Linked DNA regions of Drosophila melanogaster. The protein of the gene in region 1 purifies or fractionates together with the protein of each later gene. This does not show direct contact. Each region holds a gene or a part of one and is shown on either strand. Other genes may lie near its edges. The genes, in order: tex and tho2.

Region 1 (7,320 bases):
TGAAATCTGCTCACACCAACTGCTCACTTCAACTGCAGCCAACTGAAAACAAAGTTCTAGCCAATTTACGGGCACTTTAATTTCGGTACTTCGCTTTGGGGAAAAAACAGCAGTCGAAAGCGCATAAGTCCCGACGACAGCAAACATAAATTCCAGTCGTCTGGATCCACCCCCCTAAAGAAATCCGCATAGTCAAAGTTTGTCCAAAGTGACAGCAGAATTGAAAAGTGTGCGAGGGGCTGGGCAAGTGGCCCAGAAACTATTTACTGCTCTAAGTTTTATGACTTGCACTCGACTTTTTTTGTATGCTTGCCTTTCCGATCAATTGACAATTATCTTGTGAGAATTGAAGAACAGCTGCTAAAATTCGGAAGACACGCCACTTTTGCATTTAAGTGTGGCAAACAAATTTATTCACAACATAATTTTTTCTCTTAACTTATAACTTTACTCTAACATTATAACTTCGCATATTTGCATCTATAAATAAAATAATAAATAAAACTAAAATATGAAATATGGAATATACAGTTACATTTACATTTCACGCGTGTTTTATGTGCAATTCCTGTACAGATTTGAGAAAATGTCGAGAATAACATTTTATTGCATTCATTACATTTCATTAACATTTGCATGCGAAGGGGAAAATTTAACAGAAGCGTTCTATTCCATATTATTATAGAAATGTTATATTTATCGCATGCGAGAAACCGAGCTATGTAAACTAACAGTCTGCATTCGCGCTTAACAGCTGTGCTGAATAGAGAGGGGTAAGCTGGCTGTTAAAATTTGACACGTGTACACGGTGTACATAAAACGACGTAAAAATAAAGTAGAAATGCTGTTTCGCTCTGATGAGAAAACCAATTGGAAAATATCTAGCCAAGTCAAATTGGAATTTAGTAACTAAAGATTATAAAGATTTATATGTACAGTAAATATAGGCAACGAAAGCAAATGAAAACTATGGCTATTTAAAGTACTCATCACTTGGCCAAAAACACTCTTTCACTGCTTCCACTTACGACAATTAACTGTAAATTATATTTTCCATCAAACGCAATCCGCTCCCCTCCCCCCGGCCAACGAACGCAAGCTGGCATCTCGAAACCGAAATTTATCGAAAACTTTTAGTAAAGCAAATATTGACGTGGTTTCGAGTGGTTGGATGGCTGCGCGGGTGGAGGGGATTGGAGTGCGCTGCACTTGGCGGGAAATGCACTTGGACGGCATACAAATGGCGATGCTGCGATGCGAGTGATGATACAAACGACGTGTTAGCTTGCTTGTTTGTTTGTCACTTGCGCCGCGTGCAGAAAGTAAGAGCCCACCCACTCCCACTCGCGCCAGCTCCACAAAACTTGACCTTATGGCTCTCCAGTTTAGCTGCCTAATATGGTCGTAGCGACCATGCACGCCAGCCAACATCTTTCCGGGATTGAGCCCTCGAAAAGCTGACACTGATTAATAGCTTAAGAAGCAGGAAGCCATTGCCGTAAAGCTAGCTACATGCATTGGGTCAGCATTCGCATCCGCCAGCGTCGTTATTTGCATGATAAAAGCAAAGTGCTTGCAACGTTCAGCTGCGCCGATTGAGCAGCTCCTGGAGCAGCAGGGCGCATCAGCTGGGTCCGGCAAAGCCATAAAAGCGAGCCAGAGATGATAAAACCGAAATGGCTGCCACGAACACGTCCGCCGGCGAAGCCCTGCAATTGATAACCTAGAATGCTCGCTCGGCTAGCAACGTGACCCAGTTAACACGAAAGTGCATCATCGACGGTCAGGTACGTCGATAAAGTCACACTCGAAAAGGTAATTGGAAAGCAAACAGGGTGGTCTTTACCATCAGATGCGCCTTAAACTAGGTTACTTTATTCCGAAAAGCCATATATCTTAACGTTGCCAGCGTCACGTCGCCGATCGTTGTCCTTCTCATCGCAGGCGTAGGCCAGCAGGTACTGCTTCGGATGCCAGGCCACCGTGAACGTGGAGGCGTCCACGTGAATGTCGGTTACCCGCTCGCCCGTCTCCGTGAAGGCAATGTCGATAATGAGGTCCTCGCTGGCCAAGGCAATCATTCGCTCGTCGTGGCTAAACGATATGGTGCGGACGGGCCACTCCAGGCGGCTGATCATGCGCAGGCAGGCCAGCTCGTTGGCATCCCACAAGGAGACTTGTGCGTCCGCCGAGCCAGTGGCAAAGTATTTACCTGGAAACGAAAGAGGCATATTTAGATATGATATGAGATTGCAATGGCTGCCTACCCGTGGGTCCGAACTCAATGCAAATGCAGTTGGCGGGATGGGCCTTCAGGGTCATCTGGTGCTCGAGACTGGGATAGCTGAGGATATGCATGCAGCCGAGTCCGTTGGTTAGGAAGAACAGGTCGTTGGTGTTGTTCCACGATATCTCGTTGACCTCGAAGCTGAACGGCTCCTCCACGCGAATCTTGTTCGTGCGTGTGTCTATAAAGGTGATCAGATCCTCCTTGTTGCCCACGGCGATCGTTTTGCCATCGGGCGACCAGGCAATGTTGATATTCTCCCCCTTGGTGTTCGTCACCGATACGCATTTTCCAACTCGTATGTCCCAGATGCGCACGGTCTTGTCTCCGCTTGCGGTGGCAAACTGGTCGGGATTGGTGCGATGCCAACACAGCTGGTCCACGGACGCAGTGTGTCCCCGGTATGTGTTGCCCTTCAAGAAGCGGTCCCGCTCCAGCGAGTAGACGACCACCGTCTTGTCGAAGCTTCCGGAGGCCAGGTAACGACCATCGGCATTCCAGCAGACCGAGTGAACCTGTGGGCAGGCGGGAATTCATTGGTTGCCCAATAAATGTGGCCATCGTGCTCACCTTAGACATGTGCGACCGCTGCTCGCGGATTTTGCTGTGACTCCGCAAATACGACTTCAGGTCTTCCAATGTCTGCTCCGTGCGACTCATTGTTAAATGTTTATTTATATTTCAACCGGCTTTTTCTTAAAAGATCTAAACAACAATGTGACTGTAGCCCACTAACCAAATTATACTAACTGCCCGATTTGCATTAGCAAGGACTCACACCAATATATCGATTCCTGGCTTAGCGGCTAATTCAAATATTCTTACAATCTCTGAGGTAACGTTTTCAAACGAGTTTCTGCCAACATTCAAGCTCATATCTTTTGTTGTTAATTACGCTATTGTTTGCGCTGCAAACATTTAAACAAGCAGAGAGAGAGAGAGAGAGAGAGAGAGAGAGAGAGTTTAATGTCAACAAAACTTTATTGTATCGCTGCAGCAAAACAAACATTAAATGAGGAAAACAAATAAATAAGAATTACAAGCCTAGATTGTGGCAGTGCACTATTGAAGTCTGTGGTTTCGCGGCGGCTCGCGCACATTCCGATCGCTCTTGTCGTGGATATGCACATTCTCCGCTAGCTCCACGTTGGCATGCAAGGCCGCGTCATTGGCATTCAAGTGCGCCTCCTGGGCGGACAAGGTAGCCTTCTCCGCCGCATCGCGCGTTTCCTCGTAGTCCAGTCGAGCTGCATAAGCCTGCGATTCGGCGTGCTCCAGCTTGGTCTTGGCCTGGGCCACCATATCAATTTGCGAAGCTAGCTCGGCCGCCGCCTCCGATGCTGCCTTTTGTGCCAACTCCGAGGCGGATTGGGCATTGTTAAGTGCGGCAGTTAGGACACTGACATGGTTGATGGCCTGCTGGGCGGCATATTGGGCTGCCTTGGCGGATCTCTTGGCCTGCTGCAGTTGGGTCAGCTCGTTCTCCATGGCCTTGTGGGCCTCCACGCTCTGATCCTCCAGCCGATGGAGCAGCACCTCTTTGCCCTTGAGCACGGCCACAGCTGTGCCGGCTGCTTGTGCTGCCGCCTGAGCCAGAGTACTTTTGGCCACATAGGATGCCTGTTTGCCTGCCGCATTTTGGCTGGCCACTGCGGACAGGGCCTGATCCGCTGAACCCTTCGCTATGCTGCGCAATCCATTGTCGGCCAGGTAGCCACCGCTTCCTCCTCCACCGCCTCCGCGGTGGGAGTGCACTATGTAATCGGAGGAGCCTTCGAAGTGGGAGAGCTTCACCTTGGCCGGTTCGAATTCGTCGTGGTTAATCGCCTCGTAGGTGTATGGCGGCACCTCGTGCTCGATCACCGCCGTTTGCTGGGGCACTGGACCCGGTCCATGGGGCGATGGCGGCGGTGGTGGCGGCGGCACATTGACGTGATGGTGATAGTGTGGCTCCTTCCGTTTGATCTTGCGACCCTGCGTCGGCATGGCCACTAAATCAAAGTCCCAATTTAGCCACATTTGCATGAGGAAGTCATGTGCGACTCACCCAAAAACAGCGCCAGGAGCAGCAGGTGCAGCAGCGATGGCATCTCTGGCGATTATGCAATGGAGCAGCTGGCGAAAGGAAGTCGCACAACCGGAAGACTCGTGATCACCGCAGGCGCAAGCTTTTGGGTTCCTCTGTCGCACGCCGAGTGCTGAAAGAAAACAAATTTCCGTTTTTAATTGGGGAAAAGTTTCTTCATTGTTTTTCACGTATGTATATGCTTTTCAGTTTAGTTAGCTAGTTAGTTGTTGATTGCATCTCACTAAAATAAACTTGTTACGAAATGTACCACTTCATTCTGCATTAAAAATATCTTCACATCTGAAGGACACCTTTTGCGAGTGCATAATCATTGGGCAACCGGTTACATAGCCGCTTTGCCTATTAGCTAATATTTTATGGTGCGGCACTTTCTTTGCTCTAGGATGGCCGGTAAGTCGTTAGTGGGTCACGGAATGATATGTTCCACGAGAGAACCTGTTTAGTTTGAAGCGCAGCCAAACTGGACACTGCACACAAGGCACACACCAATCACTCAGTTTTGACACCAACGCACCTCTCGATCTCGATCTCGACTTGGACTTGGACTTGACCGACACGAACGTCCTGTGCGGACCAGAGATAAAATGCTTATGACTCGAGTGGAGGATCGCCCGCCAAGCGGAGTCAATGTGGATGGACGAGTTCGGTGAAAAACGCTTTTACTTTCGCACTAGATGAAGCTAGGAGCGCGCAACAGGTAGAGCTGGAGGCTGGTGGCTGGGGGAGCGGCAAGTGGGCGCAGTAAATCCGGTGGAGACTCAACGACGATTGCCAGTTGGCCACCAGAGGCGCCATGTATTTATAAACGAACTGGTCGGGTCGCCGAAAGAAAGTGCAAACCCGTTGGCTGTTGGTTTTCCTCGCGAGCTGGCCATGCACCATCATCCAACAACGATGGTGCTGGGTCAATGCTACCAGGCGGCTGCTCGATTGGATAATTTGTAGCCGCAATTATGGCAGAGCGTCTAATTGCCATGAGACGCTTTAAATGCCCGCTCCGGGAGAGATTGCATATGACGAAAGACCGATGAAGTCCGATGATTGTTCGCTTCCTCGCAGATCCGCGTGTGAACACGGAGGAGTGTTCGGAAGCTTAGCGAGGTGTGTTGAGTATACGCCCCGTAATCCCCAATTGCATCATGATAAACTTGATGTCACAATTTGTAGTTTATAATTGTGATCTCACCTACGAACTATTGAATTTAATAAAACTGAATTATATTCTCCCTTTTGAAAATGCAAAGTAAAATAAAATATAAGATATACAAGTTATTGGCTTCAGTTGGTGCGCCCCCTCTTCAGCCAGAGTAAGTGCCTCAGTTCCGCCCTCCTGCGCTCCCTGGTGGCCCTATGCCTGGCCTCCTGGGCAGCACAGGCTGCCTTCTCGGCGGCGTTTTTGGTATTCTTGAAATCCACACGGGCCACCTCCAGCTGGCGGAGCAATAGCTCCACCCGCTTCTTGGCCGCTTCCACAAGCTGTTGCTTCTCGCCCAGCTCCTGCTGAGCGCCACTGGCCACGTGCTCCGAGTTGACCACATTATCCTGCGCATTCTTCACCGCCAGCGTAATGGTGTTCAGCTGATCTGCCGCCTGTTTGGCCGCTTGCCCGGCCGCAGCATAAGTAGTTTGGGTGGTCTGTAACAAGGTGCTCTCCTCCTGGACCACTAGCTCCCCCTCGCGCACCTCGGACTCCAGTTGCTCGACAATCTGTTGCTTGCCGGCCAGAGCAGCTTCTGCCGCCTTGGCTGCGGCCAGCGCTTTGTCGGCCAGTTGCTGCTTCACCTGGCGGGCAGCTGCCTCGCCAGCCTCTATCTGGGCATCGGATGCCTCCATGGCTTCCTTGGCCGCCTTCTGCGCAATGCATGAGGCCTTTACCCTGGTCTTTCCATTCATCTTGAAGTCGCACGGGGCACCGCCGGAGGATGACGACACACTGTTGTCGCCATCACCATGATGATCCGACATTAGAGCAGCTATCTCATTGGAGGACTGCGGCAACTTGTGGCCCGCAGAATGATCTGAGAACAGGAAGAAAAGTAGAAATGCGATTCGTGCTATCTCCATGCTTAACTCGAAATAGTTGTATTAAACGGATTTCTAAAGATATTTAAGAAATATATACTCCAGGTAACTTGTGGTTACTGTACAAATATTTCAAATAATAGTGATTTGAAAGGTGGAGCTGCTATATTCCCATTATTATCTCCACATTTCGATTTCCTGATGAGCCTTGAGATTTATGTACGATGCAAGATTCCCAATGCGTTGCGACTCCCTGGTTACGATGTTGCTTCTTTCGAACATCCTGCTGTCGACCGCCGCGCATCCTGCCCAGCGGAATGATCCGCGTTTCAAGCCCGGCTCCCTTCCCTGCAAGACGAGCATGAAAGCCAGCCAGGTGGCCTCGAAGGCGGCCAAGGATGCGAAGGACGCCAAGGATGCGCAGCCATGTGCCGCGGAGATGGCGGGCTACAGGGCACGGGAAATGCTGGCGGACAGGGCGTTGCAGGCGGCCAAGGCTGCGGAGGCGGCTCTCAACGGGAAGAAGCAGCTCCTCGATGAATACACCAAAAGTCTGGCAGAAACGAACAGGGTTATCGAGGAAATCCAACGAGCCATTGCTGCCAGCTCGTGCTCGGCGACGTCGGCAAAGGGGATCCGTGACAAGCTCTGCACATCCGTGAACATTATGAAGAGTATGCTAAAGGAAATGGGCGGAAATCTCGATAACATCCGGAGGATGGCCGACAGTGCCCAGAAAGAGGCCCTGGAAAAGCGCAGCCTTCTGAAAGCGGCCAGGATGCGGGTGGAAGAGCTCCATAGCTGCATGTGCGAGGCTCAGAAGGATCTGGAGCGAAATAAGCAGAGCGCTAAGAAGGCCAACGACGCCGCCAAGGAAGCACAGCAACGGATCGAAGCTTTGCAAAAACTGGTGAGCAGGATT
Region 2 (8,664 bases), on another chromosome or scaffold:
ATGTGGCAGCAGCAATCCCCTTTTTGCCAGTTCTGCCAAAGCCAGGCATGCACCATGCCAGGCCTCGTGGGGTTCCAGCGGGTTGAGTATATCAATCACAGACCCTATAACCTCATCGGCCAGCTCCTTGGGAAGGCGATTGGTGACTCTGCCTAATCCTTTGGCGGCGCTCCAGCGTATATCGTTTCCTCCGCTTCGCAGTGCCTGGAGCAGCTCCTCAATCACCTCTTCTATGGCATCGGGGACCACTATTTCCTCGCCTTCCTCCAGGGATTGCTCCAAAACAACTGGTTCACCTCCTGCCGCAGTTGTCTGGTTTAGATTGGTGGCCAGTGAACGAGTGCCTAAGAAAACACTAGTTTATTATGGTTTCATGCGTGAATAACAAACCCCAGGCTTACCTCTTTTATACCGCCAGCTGGCAATGCGTGGCTTCAAATGAACCAATCCAATTCTCTGGATGATTTTTACATAGTTCTTGTACTTGAGAAAGTCGTTGTCATCCTTGTACTGACAGGAAGTGATCCACTGAAGAAGTTTGTCCGCATAGGGCAGAAGATCTTCTCGCTTTCCGTGCTTTAAAATAGCAGCCACTGCAGCCAGTTGGCCGAACTTGACGTTCAACGTGTCCGCTTGGTGCTGCTCCATAATCCAGTCCAGGAAGCGCTCCAGATATAGATCCTTGATGTCACTGCGAATGAAATACTTGGCGGCCAGGAAAGCAGCCATGCTGCTGCATGTGTCGTTGGAGGACACATAAAGCTGGATGAGCTCGAAGATGCGATCCATCTTGGTGTTCTTCGACTGAACATGGTTCACGGGACTGCAATTGGTGGTGGGAGCAGATGTGGAGGTGTCATAGGCATCTAGTCTCGACATGTGAAAGGGATTTAGGACCAGGATAGACATCCACAGGAGCAGTATATAGCGCGTTTCCCACTGTTCGAACTCCTTGGGATTTTGCTGACCCAGCAAATCCAGAACAAACTCCAGATCGCTCAGTTCGTGTGGCATAAACTTTACCAGGACCTTATAGGTGCGCACTTTGCAGATGATGTAGAGATACTTGAAGGCTGCATGAAGCTCTCCAGTGTCTAGATCTGGCTTCCGAATCTTGTGGAGCAGTTTGCCGAGTAACTCCTCCAAATGTGGATCCAAGAGGTGTGGCTGCTCCTGATATCTAGACAAAACCTGGGCGTACTGCTCGAACTCCCTTTCGAAGGTGTTAGCGGCAATGGATTTGATGTTGTCGATCATCTCCAGCACCTGCTGCAGTTCGGTGAAGTGCTCCAGCGTGTTTGCCGGCAGGTCCTCATCCTTGCACTCTTCCACAGAATTCGACATGGCTGCTTGACGATTTTATCGAGTTTTAAACCCACAGCCGGCAACAAAATCAATTCGTTTGTGAATCATTTGTTTTACTGCCAGGGTTGCAACCCCAATGAAAGTATGCTGGTATGACACCACGAACTGACTCGTCTCTTTCTTACTGTTTTTCGACCAAAAGGGTCTTTATCTAATTCTTTATCTTTAAACTAACATTTTTTTTTGGAATCAAATGCAGTTATTGTACATTGTGCTCTTTAAACGTTTGTAATAAATCCTACTAAATAAGTTCATCTAGTGTCATAGTGCCTTTGGTGTGGCCGTTTTGCATGCACCTGGTAATACCGTTAAGCAGCTGTTCGACCAGAGCTGCCAGGCGCAATTAATCATTTATTTGTAGTGGCAAGCGAAACTGCGAGATTTAGCAAGAGCAAGATTTTGTATATTCCACCAAAACGCAGCAAAGCAAGCCCGAATTTGGGATATTAAAAGTGTTACCGTCGGGTCGAAACCGCTCACACATTCGTCGAGTTTGCTGTGAGCGCGGTCATTGCTGTGAAAATTGCGTTGAAAATTCGGGATCCGCAAGTTTCGGAGCATTGCATTTGTGGACAAACCGCAATTTCTGGTCCACTGCGCCATGAAATCAGATAACTACCGTCTCATACAGGAGGTGTCCAAGCGGCGGTGCCTGTGGGACACAAACATGTCCATTTCGTACCGCAACCAGGACGCAGCTCTCCAGTGGGCGAGTGTCGCGCAGATAATGCAGCAGGATGGTGAGTGGCGGATAAACGAGGAGGGTTTTATATGCCTAGGAAACCTATAAATAACACCTGGTCATTTTGCAGTCTCGATCTGCAAGAAACGTTTCAAGGGAATGCGGGACAGCTACCGGGCAGAGGTGCGCAAGATACAGCAGAAACGAATCGAGATGTCCCACTGGCCATACTTTCGCTCACTGGAGTTCATGCGCCAAATCTTCGATCCGGAGGGCCTGGTGCCCTTTCCACCAGAGCCCTTCGTGATGAACACCGAGCAGCCGGAAGTCTTCGAGCCCACCCGACTGGTTGACTTCGCTATCGATTTGGATTTGGACAATGATGACTCTGTTGACTTTGAAATCATCGAGGACATATTTAAGCGGGAGCCGTCAGTGCCCCAGGACTCTGGCTCGGATAAAGGCTCGCTGATCAAGCCTTTGGATTCTTCATCCTCGGGCGCCCATCGTTCCGATCAGGATCTATCGCCCACATTGCCCATACACTTGCCGCGCCACCAACAATTCCTGCCACGTCCACCCCCGCCTTCGAAGAGAGGACGTCGGAGGAAAACTTCGCCGTCTAACGATGTCCCCTTATTGAATGGATACGCCAGCCAGGCGTCAAAGTCTACCACTGAACCCGATCTAAAGAACGATTCGGACTTGAGTTTCTTGATGAGCATGATGCCGCACGTAAAGTCTCTGTCAGCCATTAGCAATCTTAAGTTTCGAATGGAGATGGCGCGCGTTCTGGTGGAACTCAGGGAGGAGGATCAGCACATGCTCGCGGCGGCGGGACCCGAAGACGTTCTAGAGCGCAGCATGCCCAAACTAACACCAGCCCCGAATTCCAGTTTTGCCACTCAGCTGGAGAAATCCCAGTACCATCTATCCAATTCCAGCTACCAAATCAGTAGCCGAAAAACACCAACTTCGTTTGACTATGTCGACAGCTCCATGGTTGAGTGCGATGTCAAGATAGAGAATGAGCCTCTGCTATGAAGACTTCATACCAAATTTTTACGATTTTACATTCACCAATAATTCTCTAAGGAGTATTCCTTTCATATTGTTACAAGTCTTAGATGAAACCCTACTCATACATGAGTAGTTGTTTGGCAAAATGCCTATCATAAGACCATTATCCACACGCTGAATTGCTTGTAAAATATTGATTTGTATTGTCCAATAATTTAACCATTTTGACTCCGGGTATGCCATTCGCGGGCTGTTTTAAAGCAATTTACACGAAATGGAATATACAAACAAAATAACAGCTGATGCTGATTAAATTTTAAGGTTTAGCTTATCATTGGGATGTCATCTGGAAGGAATTTTAATGGATTTGAATTGATTTAAGATTCTGTTTTCGAATAGACACGTAATAAATATGTGCATACGATTTAAAAAAGGTCCAATGATTTTAAGGTGAGATAATCCTAAAATCGATTCGGTTTCATTTCCCGATGTTCCACTACGAAATGTCAACCATAAATAAAACAAATAAAAGAGGCAACTTGGTCGAAAACAATCTCAGTTCAATTGTAATGAAAATTGACGTCCGGTGCATAATTTATATATAATAATATATATCTATATATATATAAATAATAACAATTCAAGATTATTTGCTAGTTTATGTTCCTTGTCTAACGTTCCAGAAAAAAAGTAACTTGGCATTTGGCAGTCGGACGTTTTCGTTTCGGCGAATGGTATTTAGTTAGGCAGCAGTACGGTCACACTGGCGGAACTAACTAAAAAAAAGTGTGAAAATTTGTCAAATATTTCGACAAGTACAACGATCTAATCGATTCGGGAGCAGAATTCAGCCCCCGCAGCAAAGCGCCCGCGTGTACCACCTGATCCGAGGATGCAGAGATCCACAGACCGGTTGCGCCGGCTGAAAAAGCTGAAGAGCGTTACGGGAGCGCAGGATGGCGTTGGTGGCGGCGATGCGGCGGCGACGGCGGATAATCGGACCTCCGCATCGTCGGACACGAACGGAGCAGCCGCCAGTAGCGGAGCCGGCGGCAATCAGCCAGGCACACTCAATCCGGAGGTCTTCAAGCACTTGGACAAATCCGGACGCAGTGAATTGTACGTGTGTGGTACCACGCTCCGACACCGATGCAAACGCAGCCAGAGATATATGCACACGCGCCCAAACACTCGCACTCGCAGTACAGTGGCTGTCGTCAGTTTGTGTCTTGCTGCTGGATCGACTGTTTGGACTGACTGTTCCTCGTTCCCTAGCTAAATTACACGTTTACTTCTAGCCTGAAGTACCTCAAGCATCAGTTGCAGGATGCGGCGGATACGCCCGTTTACGACAAGAACGGCGTCTTTAAGCAGGGCATCTCCAATGCCATATACCAGCTTCTTTGGCAGACTCTGCGCTTCACTCACAAAAAAGACATAGTACTCCACCTGCTCCTGGAAGTCGTGGTGAGTTGAATTTGTTGTTGTAAAGAAAGATTTATAAGGCATTTACTTCTTAACAATTGTCGCTATATATAACGTTTTCCTATGTTGCAGGCCCTCCATGCGGACTTTCCCAGCCTTATAGTGGACGTGGTTAACATTCTGGACAGCGAAACCTCCCTTATAACCGATGGACTTCAGGAAGAACGACATGCCTTTGTGCAACTTGTTAAAGACTTGGACAGGGTGATTCCAGAAAGTCTTTTGAAAGAACGTTTGGAAATCGATACGTTGCAGGAGGCGGGAATCGTCAAGAACAAGAGCTTTTACTCTAAGTTCATCAAGGTCAAAACCAAGCTATAGTACGTACATATAGTAAAAGCGATTTGAGGTTAATAAAATATATAATCTCTACTTTCCCTTTAAGCTACAAGCAGCGTCGGTTTAACCTTTTCCGCGAGGAGAGTGAAGGGTTTGCCAAGCTTATCACAGAGCTAAACCAGGAGTTCGACGAGAACACCACTCCAGAGAGCATAATGGATATCATAAAATCCCTTATAGGTAAGATAGTTTTGATAGCTATGAGGAAACACAGTCAAACCGACTGCATTAATTGTTAATTGAATTGCAGGCTGCTTCAATCTGGATCCTAATCGTGTGCTGGACATTATTATCGAGTCCTTTGAAACTCGTCCGGATCGATGGAACTTGTTCATACCCCTGCTGCGCAGCTACATGCCCACTGGTGCCATTATTTGCGAAGTCCTCGGCTACAAGTTCTGCCACTTTAAGGACTCCCGCACTCCCCGCTCGTTATATCATGTATGTGCTCTTTTGCTTAAGCATGGCGTCATTGCTCTGAACGATGTATACGTGTGGTTGACTCCAAACGATGGGAGCATTAAGGCGGACTGGGAGGAAGACCTGGCTGATGCCAGGGAAATGGTCCGCAAGCTGAACCTTATACAAACCAATAAGAAGGAAGACGAAAAGGATCCACCACCGCCGCCTTCAGTTAAGAAGTTCAATGAGGTAGATTTAATAAACGTTTTTTGAGGGATTCTACTAACGATATCGTTTTATTCGCAGGAAAAATACAATGCAAACCAAAAATTTGGCCTCTGCGAAGCTTTGCTTAAAGTTGGCGACTGGGAGAATGCGTACAAGATCATCCAGAAGCTTCCCGAGCAGGCGGTTGTATTGCAGGAACCCATTGCCCGTGCCATTGCCGATCTGATTCACCTGTCCGTGGAGAATATTTATTACAAAAAGTGTTTTAAGGCTCCCGCAGGACGTAGGCCGAGCCGCAATCGCCTGTATGAGGATTCCAAGTTGGTGGCCAAGATGCAGGCAAAGGAATTCGGCGACTTAAGGAAGTACACCTGGCCGATGGCTAACGTGTTGGGACCTGCCATGCACTACGACACTGTGCTGATGTACAAACTAATCCGTATTATGCGGAAACTAGTTGTCGATATGGGCGTGGACAGCCTAAATGGACCTCCGCCGAATTCGGAAGCAGAGCAGCACTACTATGACATTATGAGCTCGCTGGACGCCTGCATTCTACCCTCCCTTCTATACTTGGACAACAACTGTTCCATGTCCGAAGAGATCTGGGCTGTGCTTAAATATTTCCCGTATCATTTTCGCTACAGTTTGTATGCGCGTTGGAAGAACGACAGCTATCAGCTGCATCCCAATTTGATCAGGAGATGTGGATTGGCACAACGGGATATTAAGGCCCTAATGAAGCGCGTGAGCAAGGAGAACGTCAAGCAGCTGGGACGACTGGTAGGAAAGTATAGCCATTGTGCGCCAGGACTGCTTTTCGACTATGTGAGTTTCATCTAGGTACTATTCCAAAACAGTTTATTCATTTCCATTACTATTTCAACAGATTCTCTTGCAAATTCAAATCTATGATAATCTAATTGGTCCGGTCTGCGACCTGCTCAAGTATCTTACTGCCTTATCCTTTGACTGTTTGGGATACTGCATCATCGAGTCGTTGACGTTAACAGGTCGTCTCAGGTTCAAGGATGACGGCACTTCGTTATCCTTGTGGCTGCAAAGTCTTGCCTCCTTCTGCGGCACCATATACAAGAAGTACAGCATTGAGCTAAGTGGTCTGCTTCAGTATGTGGCCAATCAGTTAAAGTCGCAGAAGAGCCTGGACTTACTGATTCTGAGGGAGATCGTGCATAAGATGGCAGGCGTGGAGTCCTGCGAGGAGATGACTAATGATCAGTTGCAAGCCATGTGTGGTGGTGAGCAGCTCAGGGGAGAGGTAATTATCCAAGTCACTGCAATATTGTTCTGTTAATTGAGTGTATTTGTCGCTATAGGCTGGCTACTTTAGTCAAGTGAGGAATACGAAAAAGTCCTCTAATCGCCTAAAGGAGGCATTGGCCAATAACGATCTTGCCGTGGCTATTTGCCTTTTGATGGCTCAACAGAAACACTGCGTCATTTATCGTGAGACGGCGGCACACAGCCATTTGAAGTTAGTGGGAAATCTGTATGATCAGTGCCAAGACACACTCGTCCAGTTTGGTACGTTCCTAGGCTCCACCTATTCTGTGGATGAGTATGTGGAGCGGTTGCCCTCGATTATAACCATGCTTCGAGAGTACCACATAAACACGGATGTGGCCTTCTTCTTGGCTAGGCCCATGTTTACTCATCAGATCAATGTAAGTTCGAGCAAACCATTCTGCAAAATATTACAAAAAGGTTAACCGAATCCCTCTTACAGCAAAAATATGATCAATTGCGCAAGGATGACCCTAACGCCAAGAAGCTCACCACGACGCAAAAGCTCCAGAAGTATTTGGAAGCTACGCAGCTGATCATGAACCCTATTGTAGAGTCTGTTCGTCCACTGCACAGCTCCAAGGTGTGGGAGGACATTAGTCCGCAGTTCCTGGTAACTTTTTGGAGTCTGAGCATGTACGATCTGCACGTGCCGAACGAAAGCTATCAGAGGGAGGTTGCCAAGCTAAAGCAGCTGGCCCAGCAAGCGGCAGAAGGCAAAGACTCTAACCAATCTAAGAACAAGAAGGAGCAGGAGCGCTACATTGCGCTAATGGAGAAGCTGAACGACGAGCGAAAGAAGCAGCATGAGCACGTTGACAAGATCTCGCAGCGTTTGCAGGAGCAAAAAGATAGTTGGTTCCTTCTACGATCTGGCAAGTCCGCAAAGAACGACACCATCACGCAATTCCTGCAGCTCTGTCTCTTCCCGCGTTGCACCTTCACAGCTCTGGATGCGTTGTATTGCGCGAAGTTCGTGCACACCATCCACAATCTCAAGACATCGAACTTCTCAACCTTGCTGTGCTATGATAGGGTAATAAGACTAAATACATTTACTTAAACTCGATCTTACTCCTTCTTCTTGTCCTCAGATCTTTTGTGACATCACTTATTCGGTAACATCGTGCACTGAGGGCGAGGCTACGCGGTACGGACGCTTTTTGTGCGCCATGCTCGAGACCGTGATGCGTTGGCATGCGGATCAGGCGGTGTTTAATAAGGAGTGCGCCAATTATCCTGGTTTTGTGACAAAGTTTCGTGTTAGCAATCAGTTCTCAGAGGCCAACGATCATGTTGGCTACGAAAACTATCGGCATGTGTGTCACAAGTGGCACTACAAGATTACCAAGGCGATTGTATTCTGTCTGGACTCGAAGGACTTTATGCAGATCAGAAACGCACTGATCATCCTAATGCGAATACTGCCTCACTATCCAGTTCTTTCCAAACTGGCGCAAATCATCGAGCGTAAGGTGGACAAGGTGCGCGAGGAGGAGAAGACAAAGCGACCGGATCTGTATGCCATTGCCTCCAGCTACATTGGACAACTAAAGCTGAAGACTCCCCACATGCTAAAGGAGAGTGTCTTTCATCAAATCGCCGAGCGGCCGAATAAGGAGTCGCCGACCAGTGTTGGCGCTCCCGCCGCAGCCACCAGATCCGATAAGTTGTCACCCACCTCTCCATCTGGGAATACACAAGGAACAAGGGCTCCAGGCGGAGCTGCTCCTTTCTACAACAGCGAACAAAAGTCGGTGATCAAAGAACCAGATGCAAAAGCAGGTGAGTTGAAATATTAAATGAATGTAAATCTTAAATCTTAAATCATCAAATCT

Evidence for each region.
Region 2: the proteins of tex (region 1) and tho2 purify together in Drosophila melanogaster (affinity purification with western blotting; one study listed by BioGRID). This does not show direct contact.

The regions. Positions count from the first base shown.
Region 1 is NT_033777.3:8,305,629-8,312,948, forward strand, and holds tex (tex), read right to left. Parts: upstream 3,018-7,320; 5' UTR 2,948-3,017; coding exon 2,858-2,947; exon of another isoform or gene 2,803-2,857; coding exon 2,268-2,802; intron 2,213-2,267; coding exon 1,875-2,212; 3' UTR 1,845-1,874; downstream 1-1,844. Other genes in the region: CG11693 (uncharacterized protein), read right to left, coding at 3,350-4,278, 4,335-4,377; CG11694 (uncharacterized protein), read right to left, coding at 5,655-6,440; CG11698 (uncharacterized protein), read left to right, coding at 6,616-7,320.
Region 2 is NT_033779.5:2,140,327-2,148,990, reverse strand, and holds the start of tho2 (tho2), read left to right. Parts: upstream 1-3,803; 5' UTR 3,804-3,959; coding exon 3,960-4,186; intron 4,187-4,365; coding exon 4,366-4,534; intron 4,535-4,624; coding exon 4,625-4,872; intron 4,873-4,937; coding exon 4,938-5,071; intron 5,072-5,141; coding exon 5,142-5,542; intron 5,543-5,599; coding exon 5,600-6,349; intron 6,350-6,410; coding exon 6,411-6,800; intron 6,801-6,858; coding exon 6,859-7,206; intron 7,207-7,268; coding exon 7,269-7,862; intron 7,863-7,920; coding exon 7,921-8,611; intron 8,612-8,664. Other genes in the region: Tbcd (Tubulin-binding cofactor D), read right to left, coding at 1-344, 402-1,344; CG11723 (uncharacterized protein), read left to right, coding at 1,967-2,105, 2,178-3,091.